Yarrowia lipolytica: one gene and its partners. The protein of the gene in region 1 purifies or fractionates together with the protein of each later gene. This does not show direct contact. Links are inferred from orthologs where the notes say so. Each region holds a gene or a part of one and is shown in the gene's direction. Other genes may lie near its edges.

What was found.
Region 2: the proteins of YALI1_F11493g (region 1) and YALI1_D16206g purify together in Saccharomyces cerevisiae (affinity purification with mass spectrometry; 7 studies listed by BioGRID, with this or other methods). This does not show direct contact. The link is inferred for Yarrowia lipolytica from reciprocal best matches to the Saccharomyces cerevisiae genes NMD3 and BUD20.
Region 3: the proteins of YALI1_F11493g (region 1) and YALI1_C30287g purify together in Saccharomyces cerevisiae (affinity purification with western blotting; 18 studies listed by BioGRID, with this or other methods). This does not show direct contact. The link is inferred for Yarrowia lipolytica from reciprocal best matches to the Saccharomyces cerevisiae genes NMD3 and LSG1.

What each region holds. Positions count from the first base shown.
Region 1 is NC_090775.1:1,147,431-1,151,397, forward strand, and holds YALI1_F11493g (60S ribosomal export protein NMD3), read left to right. Parts: upstream 1-1,894; coding exon 1,895-3,412; downstream 3,413-3,967. Other genes in the region: YALI1_F11481g (uncharacterized protein), read right to left, coding at 1-714. UniProt on the Saccharomyces cerevisiae protein: Acts as an adapter for the XPO1/CRM1-mediated export of the 60S ribosomal subunit. Unlikely to play a significant role in nonsense-mediated mRNA decay (NMD).
Region 2 is NC_090773.1:1,619,496-1,622,211, reverse strand, and holds YALI1_D16206g (uncharacterized protein), read left to right. Parts: upstream 1-1,562; coding exon 1,563-2,081; downstream 2,082-2,716. UniProt on the Saccharomyces cerevisiae protein: Involved in pre-60S ribosomal particles maturation by promoting the nuclear export of the 60S ribosome. Involved in positioning the proximal bud pole signal.
Region 3 is NC_090772.1:3,025,996-3,030,720, reverse strand, and holds YALI1_C30287g (uncharacterized protein), read left to right. Parts: upstream 1-1,963; coding exon 1,964-4,090; downstream 4,091-4,725. Other genes in the region: YALI1_C30310g (uncharacterized protein), read left to right, coding at 1-826; YALI1_C30255g (uncharacterized protein), read right to left, coding at 4,440-4,725. UniProt on the Saccharomyces cerevisiae protein: GTPase required for the nuclear export of the 60S ribosomal subunit. Acts by mediating the release of NMD3 from the 60S ribosomal subunit after export into the cytoplasm.

The sequences.
Region 1 (3,967 bases):
CGTGGTGATGACTTTGGCTCCATACACGTTCTTTGCCAGCTGAATCGCAAAGGTGCCGATACCTCCGGAGCCCTTGGAGATGAAGATGGTTTGGTCCCTTTGCAGATTGCCAGCTTCAAACGCTTGCATGGAGGTCAGACCTACCAAGGGGATGCCTGCAGCATCTTGGAGAGAAATGTTTGATGGGGCTCTGGCCACGAGTGAGGACTTGACGCTCACAAACTCGGCCATGGTGCCGTCCTGACGCTCGCCAATCCGGCTGTAGACTCTATCGCCTGCCTTGAACTCATCCACCCCAAGTCCCACCTCCTCCACCACCCCAGATACATCGTAGCCAAAGATATGAGGGTGTTTGTCAGGTGCCAACATCTTCAGAAAGCCACGGTTTCTCATGCCATCAATGGGATTGAGCGACGCAGCAGCCACCCGGATCAGAACATGATCGTCGGCAATCAGAGTCGTCTTGGGATGGTCCTCGGAGTACTGGATCTTGTCCGGGCCTCCATACCCTGTGGTGTAAGCTGCTTTCATGGTGTATTGAAAGCGATCGATCAAGGCCCCTGTGACATGTCCGTGTGCGTGTTTATATATCCATGTTTGAGTACTTGGACCGGCCTCTCCTTGTCCATTGTTATTACATGCTATAGATGACACTAGCCGCACTCTACTGTGAGCACACGAGCAAAGCGACCAAGAAGCGGTAGTACAAGTCATGGAAGCGCAGGAGGATGCTACAATCACAACATGGATATTGTGTTTGTGTTAAATTGCTTCTACAGATTGTCTGGGTCACTGACAGCTGGTTCATTACTTCCAGTATGGCCCAAGATGAACAACTATACACATCCACCCCACATTTGTCACCAGTTAGTAACGCACTAGTGAGACGCATAGATTTGCCACCGAACATGTCACTGCGAGATCCTGTCAGAGGGGAAAGCGCGTATCCCACCCACATGTCATTTGAACTACACCCACAGAAGCAAATTAGGGCATGTATTCCCCACACCTCACGGTATGTACACTCGCAACCACTAACTCATGATACTTGCATCTCAATACAACGTTAGTTGTGGAGATGGTTAACACCATGAGTGGATTCAGAAGGATCTCCTTACCTTTCAATCCAGCTTACCTCCCTTTTGATCCTTACCAGCAGTCTGCCGCTAATTTTTGCGTCCCCAAACAGCCCCCTTGGCATGGGTATCGTACTTGTCCATCTTCTGGTTCGCCAAGAGCCTGTCTCACTGAAGGGTTGACAGATTATTGGTCATCGTGAGGACGGTTGAAACACAAGTGGGTACGTACTTGTATAATCCAGCTTTTGGGTTGCTTGTCGCCCAGATCACACCCCCAATTCAGAGTGTGTAAACCAAACAAGTTTATGATATACTCTGGTCACATTGAACTCATAAAGTGTTCCTTTTCACAGGCGTGACAAAGACTTCCACAAGAAAACATGGCTCAAAGACACAAGCACAAGTGCAAGTAAACGATGTTTCATGTCATATATACATGCAGCACTTGTAATGCTCATACAAATACAATACCACTCAAGATCTATCTCTCCTCTCCACACAGTCCCTCGCCTAAACGATGCATTCATGAGTCAGCTTTGTCAACACGACGATCTTGTATTTCTCAAGAATTTCTCCTATTTTACTACTTAAAGTAAATGATACTGCTCAAAACAGCGCAAAAATACCGTTCCAACAATTCAATTGATTTTATCCAATTTATCGCAAGTTTCCACAAATGTCCCACACTTTCACGCCTCAACCGCTATCTGACATAACTGCCCGAAGCTTATATGAAAATTTCCTGAACCTAATAAAAATCTACAGCATCTTTCTCTACACACACACAACTAACCAGACATAGACACACAAACACCATGTCCGTGTCAGCTTTCAAGGCCACCGTGCTGTGCCACAACTGTGGTACCCCGCTTGATGGTACCCTCACCAATGGAACCCCCATTTGCAACCAGTGTATCGAAATGACGACCGACATCACCAAGGAGATTCCTCGAGAGGCTTCCCTCACCTTTTGCAGAAACTGCGACAGATGGCTGCAGCCTCCCTCATCATGGACCGCTGCCCAGCCCGAGTCCCGAGAGCTGCTGGCTCTTTGTCTCAAGCGACTCAAGGGTCTGTCCAAGGTGCGTCTTGTGGACGCCTCCTTCATCTGGACCGAGCCCCACTCCCGACGTATCCGAATCAAGGTCACCGTCCAGGGCGAGGCTGTGGGCCAGACCATCATCCAGCAGAGCTTCGAGGTCGAGTACATTGTGATCGCCACACAGTGTCCCGACTGTGCCAAATCCTTCACTGCCAACACCTGGAGAGCTAGTGTGCAGATCCGACAGAAGGTGCCCCACAAGAAGACCTTCCTGTATCTGGAGCAGCTGATTCTGCGCCACAACGCACACCTGGACACCATCTCCATCCAGGAGAGCCGCGACGGTCTGGACTTCTTTTACTCGCAGCGAAACCACGCGCTCAAGATGCTCGACTTTCTGGCGTCCGTCACCCCCTGCAGACACAAGCGGTCCGAAGAGCTCATTTCAATGGATACCCATACCGCCAAGAAGCAGTACAAGTTTTCTTACTCGGTCGAAATCGCACCCATCTGTCGAGACGACCTCGTGGTTTTGCCTCCCAGCATTGCCAAGTCCAACGCCAACATTTCTCCTCTGGTTCTGTGTACCAAGGTGACCAACACCCTGCACTTTGTTGACCCCAATACCCTCCAGACTGCCGAGATTCCTGGCTCTGTTTACTGGAGAAAGCAGTTCCCTTCTCTGGCCGATGCTTCTCGTCTGCAGGAGTTTATTGTGCTCGATATTGAGCCTCTGGGACCCGTCAAGGGCAAGTTTGCCCTTGCTGACGCCACTGTGGCTCGAGTCGGCGACATGGGCCGAAACGACACCACCTACAACATCCGAACGCATCTCGGAGGTGTCCTGCATCCCGGAGACTCTGCCTATGGCTACTACATGGTCACGTCCAACTTCAACAATGCCTACTGGGATGAGCTGGACAAGGATAATCTGCCCGACGTGATTCTAGTCAAGAAGCACTACCCTGGCCGACGAAAGAAGCGAAACCGACACTGGAAGCTTAAGCGAATGGCACTTGAACACAACCTAGAGGACGACCCCAAGGTCACCAAAACCGATCTGGACAAGGCTGAGCAGGACTACGAGCAGTTCCTGCAGGAGCTCGAGGAAGACACCGAGCTGCGAGGCACCGTCAACCTTTATAAGCGAACCGTTCCCCAGATGCCTGCTCTTCCCAAGACTGGTGATGAGATGGAGGCCAGCGAGGAGGAGGGCGAGGGAGTTCCTGAGATTGGTGTTGACGAGCTTCTCGACGACCTGGAGGACATGAGCCTGGGCCAGGATGAATAGATGTACCACGAGCGAACCAGTAACGACAAACAGTAACCAAAAGTCAATGGTCAATGGGGATATTTAGATGAATGCATTAATAGATTGGATGTGGAACATAAAACGAAAAGTAGAGCAATAAGGGCATAAACAGCTAGATTCCTCTTTCCCAGGTTACAAGATAGCCCTATTGAACCAGATTTCCTTATTATTTGTTTTTATTCTAATGATTCATTTTTTTATTTAATCACGTGACGTCCATAGCCGTGTTACTAGGTTCAATCACATTTATCGCCAGTTGCGGCCATATCCCTTGGTGAAAAATACGGCTTTCCCCGTCCGATCAAGCCATAGTCCAAGCAACCAGAGAGCCCTAGTTATGTATTGTAGTGGGGAGGACCATACGAGAATCCTAGGTGCTGCAATTAAACCATTTTTTTTTTGCTCTTGCCTCTTCGGCTTTCTATGTTATGTCTCCAACCTGCTTACTCAAGAACCAAGACAGCGTTTTACACACAGTTTGAGTAATGTAGGTTTTAGTGAGACTCTCACTGAAGATATAAAAGTCCGAGTACT
Region 2 (2,716 bases), on another chromosome or scaffold:
TTTTTTTTTCATCGTCGATCTGAACAAGAGGGATTCGATTCATTGTATCATTATGTAGGTCCTTCTTCCCGCATTGTAGTTGAGAAGGATCTGATGGCGGGTTTGGATGCTCGTCTTGTCTAAACATTTGATCAAAAAGACGATCGTATCAGCCCGAGTAGGAGTGCGATATGACTCCAACATACCCATTGAGACACCATTTATGAATGGTCACGGCAGAGATCGAGGCAGAGATCGAGGCAAGTGACCAGTAGGGCTCCCGTTGCGAATACCCCAGAGCTGCGAAACCAGACAGAAATGGCGTCAATGAGGTCCATCGAACTCATACATGCAATTCATTTACTCAGTATACATAGCGTTATCTGAGCTACTGGAGATTGGCTACTCAACTATCGCTCCATTGATGTTACCAGGGACAGACACACCCTCCAAGGGCCCTGGATCAACTACAGAGATGTTGGCACGACTCTGGTGATTTGTGCTGCCCACTCTGAACAGCTCTTTCTCACAATGGGTTCACAATGGGCCTCCGTGCAATGGAGTATGTGAGATTGTAGTAGCCGCTGGTACTTGTTCCATCCAAGGGGCTTATGGCCAATGTACGAATCTACCGAGGCAAGAGTAAACCAAACTAGTAATCTATCGGTCATTGCCAAACTCGTTTTTTTCTCACCCCTGCCATCTCTAGTGGTGTCAGAGCAATCCGATCTCGTCTGTTGACTCTGACCAGAATGGGACCATGAACAGAACAAGACCGCAGACTTCTCGTAATACTTGTTGGAGTCGCAATAACGGTCATCCAATCAGACAACAATCTCTTGATCCCTTTCGTGACTACGATACTCAGGTGGACCAGAATCTGGCTGAGAAGCTCGTGGGGGGTTTGCGAGGAAATCTCCAATGATCAACATAGTAAAAACAATCAAGACCATCTATACAGAGGTAAAAGATGTAATAGATCAATGAAAAGAGGATGAATAATTCAAACACCACAAACTTGTATAGTTCGTACTTGTATCGTATTCGTACTTGTGGTATTGAGCCTGGTGCCTTGTGTCTGGTGCGTGTAAAAAGGACGTTCCAATGGACGCCATAAAACAGTGTCGAAACGAAGAATGGACAACAAAGTAAAGTCGTTATTGAGAACAAAATGCACTTTTCTGAAACTCCCTATCTTTTATATTCATCTCATTGAACCCGGTTAACCAGGCGTGTACTCGTACTTGTACTTGTAGTGCTCATCCCAGCTCAACCAGTGTCCTTATTGAAAAACTGAAACCGCAGGTGCACACATAATGGCCCAAACCGTCATATACCGTCCCTCAAGTCGTCCAATTATTCAAATTGGCTATTTTCTCGATTTTCTCAATTTTGTCAAAAAAATCCATTTTCCAAAAAATATTTTAACATTTTCCAAAAAAATCTATTTTATTTAAACATTTTCCATTTTATTAAACTCCAAACTCTAAGTAGAAAAAATCTGTAAACGTGCATACGGAAATATCGACACTCTCGCACCACACCGCAAGCGACTCTAGTGACACAAAAAGCAAGAAACAACCATGGGAAGACCATCGCGAATGATGTACAAGACGAAACGTCGAACCCGAGATCTGGACCAGATTCTGCGGGACGACATGAACACGTCGCAGTCGATCAAGGCTCTGCACAACCAGGAGTACGACGAGGAGAAGCCCGGACTGGCGCAGTTCTACTGTATTCCGTGCGCTCGGTATTTCGAAACCGAGTTTGCCAAACAGACACACATCCGGGGCAAGGTGCACAAACGACGGCTCAAGGAGATCCGCGAGGTGCCATACACCCAGGAGGAGGCCAATATGGCTGCTGGAAACAATGTGGCGCGATACCTGGCTCGAAATGATGTTGATAAGAAGCGTCTGGATGAGGAGGAGGTGACCACCATGTTGACAGATCGTGGCAGTCTTGAGGAGGTGGAGCAGGCCAAGGCGGCAAGCAGTTTTGCTCGTGAGCAGGAGGCGTTGCGAATCGCCCGAGAAAAGGAGGCCGAGGAGGAGGACAAAGGGGTGATTCCCGAGACCAAGGATGAGGATATGGCTTAGGAGGCTTAGAAAATCACAGGAATCTGAGCCTGCGAGGATTTGTGATGTTCGTTGGATGCTAGTCATTCGAAACAACTCAGTCATTCAGCCATTTTTCACGGCATTCACTAATCATTCATTCACAAATTACTCAATTCCATCTCTCTGGACCGAGGGATGTAGCATGGGACTTAGAAATCACTCACTGCTGGATCAAATGGATTATGACAATAGCATTATTAACAGAAATGGATAGGCCATGATAGACAATATATTATTGATTACGATGAGCCTCGGACAGAGTGCTATTGGCAGCAGATGGACACCAGATAGTGAGTTTTGTAACGATAGCGAACTCACAGAAAGCCGAATACCTATAGGTGGTTTCTCAGATGGTGGTAATCAGGACCTGAAGAGCCCATTCCAACTTCATTCATCATTCTGAGTGCTCTGTAGCACATCTACCGTGCAAAGTTGTGTATGTTGAGCGTTTTTTTCCATGTGTCTATAACTTTTGCTAGAGACATTCGAGAAAGATGACGAGTTCTGGATATTGTTTCCGGTGCCTGGAAGAACTGCTTGCGACTTTCCACGTCCTTCTAACCTCTCTGTAGCAGAAAAGATGGTTTGTTGGTTTATATCAACGGGGTATACAA
Region 3 (4,725 bases), on another chromosome or scaffold:
CAACAGGTTTCTGGATTTTACCGAGTCTCCGGAGACTCCCAGCACCTCTTCTCTGCCTAAAAAATCTCACGTTTCCAGCTTTCAGGATGCTGTCATCTATGACAAACACATGATGAGGGTGCGAGGAAAGATAATCACTGAGAAATGCACGCCAGAAGTCATGACAGCGGTTTTCAGCAACAATGATGGAGAATTGATCATAAATATGAAAGATCTGAGCGCCTCGGAGACTCCTCTTCCCGCTTTCGGATGTCATTTGCCCGGAAAGATGTCCTTCAAGTTACAGGTTGTGGGAAAGACAGCTATTGTGGCTTTTGTAGGGGGCGAAGCGCGATATTCGAGTATCGTGAGCCCTAAAAAAGCCACGGTCCAAGCTGAGAGAGGTTGTTTATTGTTGAGAGCTCCAGCCGGGCTCTTGTTTTACGATGGACATGTGTTTGATGTGATCATCGACAGTCATTGGAGACCAATTGTGCAAAGCTCAAAGTCCACAGAAGTGCTTCCAAAGGAGTGGGATCTAAGTAGGCATCATAGGGTGGAACAAGACAGTAGGTATCGCCACTATGCCTTGATTTATAATCACAACGGTTTGGTTACTGCCCTCGTCGACTTGAAGACTCACAGACTGAAACAGTTGACCGACGTCTCGGACATTGCGCGGGAACACACTTCCCCGATAGATGTTTATCTCACGGTTGTGGGCTTATCCAACGGTTCTGTTGCTGTGTGGAGGTATACAAAGCAGTACTTGGAGAACAAGTATCGACAGCAGCATGGAGTTGATATGATACCTGAAGAGGCGAACAGTTTGATTCAAGGAATATAGAAAAATTGTCACCAGTTGTCGTAGTAGATGTCCACAATGGTTTTTTAGTATATGTACATACAGTATGTACTGTAGTCTGTATATACTGAAGTACACTACACAGTGAGTTCCTTCACCCTAGTTATACAGAGCGAAGTATGACACTTACTTTTAACAAGTCAAGCTTCGGCTGAAAAATTATGTTATTATAAAATAAAATAAAATAAAAAATAGGTGAGTGGTGCAAGCCATTAGAGAAAGTTGTTGACTAAGATCGCAAATGTATGCTTCCACTAGTACTAGTACAAGTACATTGTAATTGTAAAAGCACAGGCTCCTGGCTTTCCTTCTCTGTCAAAAGATCATGAGACTGTTCATCTTTTCCTCTTCTGAATACTCATCATGATCAGCCTGTTTTTAAGGACCCACTAGGGGTGGGAGATCACCGACCTTGTGATATGCCACTTTTGCAAACCAAATGAAGCATGTGAATGACACGAGTTCCTCTCATTAAATGTCGATTTCATCCCATCTCTTACTTGTTCATACAGGTACTTTTACTTGGTCGTCTTGTACTGTACTTGGTGTACTTGTGCATACTGTACTTGGTGTACTTGTGCATACTGTACTTGGCCCTGCCTGAATCTGCCTACAAGCACTAAGGCACCATCGTCTAACGACCAAGAGTTGGACAAAGAAGCATTATTAATCAAAATCCCAAACAACCAAAATATTACAAACCACGCAAATATCCCGCTCCACCAATTTCACGCAACCACCACGTTTACTCGCAATTCTACTCCCCAACCGCCAGTCTTCCAACCGGTTCTATGTTGCCACAGTAACAAATAAAGTTCACTGATATGATCTAAACCAAGTGAGAAACACTGGCTTCAATGAGTCATTCATACACTATAGAACCTTCAAAATACCTCCCTCGGACTCATATTTCACTGTATTATCGATTCCCGCTTTCTCTCAACGAATTGCTCCCAAACCCCCCTTTTTTCCTGTTGCTCAGTTGTATCGTGTCACACTTGCACATCACGTGACCGTGCAGGTTGAAACTCAACCTTAAAAATTATTTCTGCATCATATCTAAGGTGCTGGGGTCCTACGACCTCATCCCCCACTACACGAAATTTATATTATCTGAACATGAACAAAACACCGTTGCATTCCGATGTGGTCAAGCCCAAGGGTCCCCCCTCGGGACCCAAGCCGCAGTACCACAAAAAGAAGACCCCCAACAACACGGGACTCGGAAAGACTCTGATGAACCGAAAGGCCAAGGAAGGACGAGTCTACGTGACCGATTCTGGAGAGACCCGATACACAACCGAGGAGAACAAGGAGGCCGGGTGGGTCAAGCTGCGATCCGTCACCCAAGAGAAGGCTCTGGACGAGTTTCTGGCCACCGCCGAGCTGGCTGACACTGATTTCACCGCTGAGCGACGAGCCCACACCACCATTATCAACACCCATGACAACTCCAACCCTTACCTTTTGACCAAGGCTGAGGCCGAGAAGCTGCGTGAGAAGCAGCTGGAGAACGCCGGCAAGCTGACTGTTCCCCGACGACCTGTTTGGACTGAAGATACCACCTCCACCCAGCTCGATCGAGAGGAGAAGGAGGCGTTTCTGCGATGGCGACGAAGTCTGGCGGAGCTGCAGGAGAACCAGGATCTGCTTCTGACGCCATTCGAGCGAAACATTGAGGTGTGGCGCCAGCTGTGGCGAGTGTGCGAGCGATCCGATCTGGTTGTGCAGATTGTCGATGGGCGAAACCCTCTGCAGTTCCGATCCGAGGATCTGGAGTTGTATGTCAAGGAGATTGACCCCCGTAAGCGAAACCTGCTGCTGGTTAACAAGGCTGACCTGATGACCGAGGAGCAGCGACAGATCTGGGCCGACTATTTCAAGAAACACGGAATTCGATACGCCTTCTTCTCTGCTGCCAAGGCCAAGGAGGAGCTGGAGGCTCTGGAGGCCCGAGAAGAGGCTCAGGCTACCAAGAAGCCCGCCAAGAAGCCCGTCAAGAATGACGATTCCGACGACGAGGTGTCGGCTCTCGAGCGAGAACTTGCACAGTTTGTCCCTAAGGAGGAGTCTGAGGATGAGGATGAGGAGGAAGACGAAGAAGACGAGGAAGACGACGTTGAGCCTTCTGTCACCGAGATCCAGGAGGCCGTTCCTGCTAACGCCCATGAGGAGGCCAAGGCTACCGACGAGTCCAAGCCTGACACAGAGAACATGCACTATTCCGTCATGGCCACCCCCACATCTATCCTGTCTGTGGACCAGCTCGAGCAGCTGTTCCTCGCCGAGGCTCCTGCTCCCATGCAGCCCGCTCCCGCTGGCCAGGAACCCCGCCTGAACATTGGTCTGGTCGGTTACCCTAACGTTGGTAAGTCTTCTACCATCAACGCCCTGGTGGGCTCCAACAAGGTGTCTGTTTCTGCCACCCCTGGAAAGACCAAGCACTTCCAAACTATCCTGCTGTCACCCAAGGTGATGCTGTGTGATTGTCCCGGTCTGGTGTTCCCCAACTTCGGTAACACCAACGGAGAACTGGTGTGTAACGGTGTGCTTCCCATCGACCAGCTGCGTGAGTTCACCGGTCCCGCGACCCTCGTGTCTCGACGAGTGCCCAAGTACTTCCTCGAGTCCGTCTACGGTATCAAGATCTACACTCGTCCGGTCGATGAGGGCGGTCTCGGATATCCCACAGCCACAGAATTCCTTGTGGCCTACGCCAAGGCACGAGGATACATGCGTGGAGCCTCTCAGGGTAATCCCGACGAGTCGCGAGCTGCTCGATACGTGCTCAAGGACTACGTTAACGGAAAGCTGCTCTACTGTCATCCTCCTCCCGACTACAGAGAGGATCTGGATGACGAAGATGCCGGTATTCTCTTCAACAAGGGTCTGTACACCCTCAACCAGCTGCCTCCCTCGCGTCAGAAGCAGCTGCTTGATGCTGCTGTTCACTCTGGCATTGCTCGAGAGGATTTTGACCTTGAGCGAGACATTGACAAACTGTCTTTCTCCCAGCATGCCACTGGAGCCGGTGGTTTCGGTGGTAAAGGATTTTCTTCTCTCGGCGAGCATCTGGACGCTGACTACTTTGGAAAGAACTCATCAGGAGGCAACATGAGCACCCCCTTCCACCAGCGAGGTGCTGCTCAGGGCACCAAGAAGCATTTCAAGGGCAAGAAGGTCAAGGCCCGAAACGCCCGGTCCACCAACGACAACTACGGCGGAACCTACGGCGATATTATTTAAGCGGATGACGGCACGACTAGGGAAATGACTTGGGAAGACGATGCATTATAGATAATTATGATACGATAGTGATATGACAGTAATACAGGTGGGTTGCATTACATTTTTGGATATTGTATTACATTCGATGATAAGATGTGTGACTTCATCAGCAGCTTCAAACACGTAGTGTATAGAACATCTATAGACATTCAATCGACAGATATGTATAAAGAGTCACACTCGATATCAAATGGTCTATTCAATCAATTGATCTATATACAACTTTACTTGTGCACCGCAAAATCAATTGTTTAAGCCCAGATCCTATCAGCAGGTTTGCTGGGCGGGGTGAGAGCGTTCGCTAAGTTCATGCAGTCTTGGCTTCCTCCTTGGTCATTCGTCCTCCGAAAATGGTCGATCCAATTCTCACATTGGTGGATCCCTGCTTGATGGCTTCCTCAAAGTCAGAAGACATGCCCATGGACAGCTCCAGACCTGTGATATCAAAAGCCTGCTCAATAGAGTCTCTGATCTGTACCAGCGTGGCAAAGTCCTTGTTCTCCTCCGAGGCCTTGGACTGCTCAATTGAGCCGATGGTCATGAGACCGGCCAGCTTCAGCTGAGGACACTCCTTAATAATGTAATCTACTACC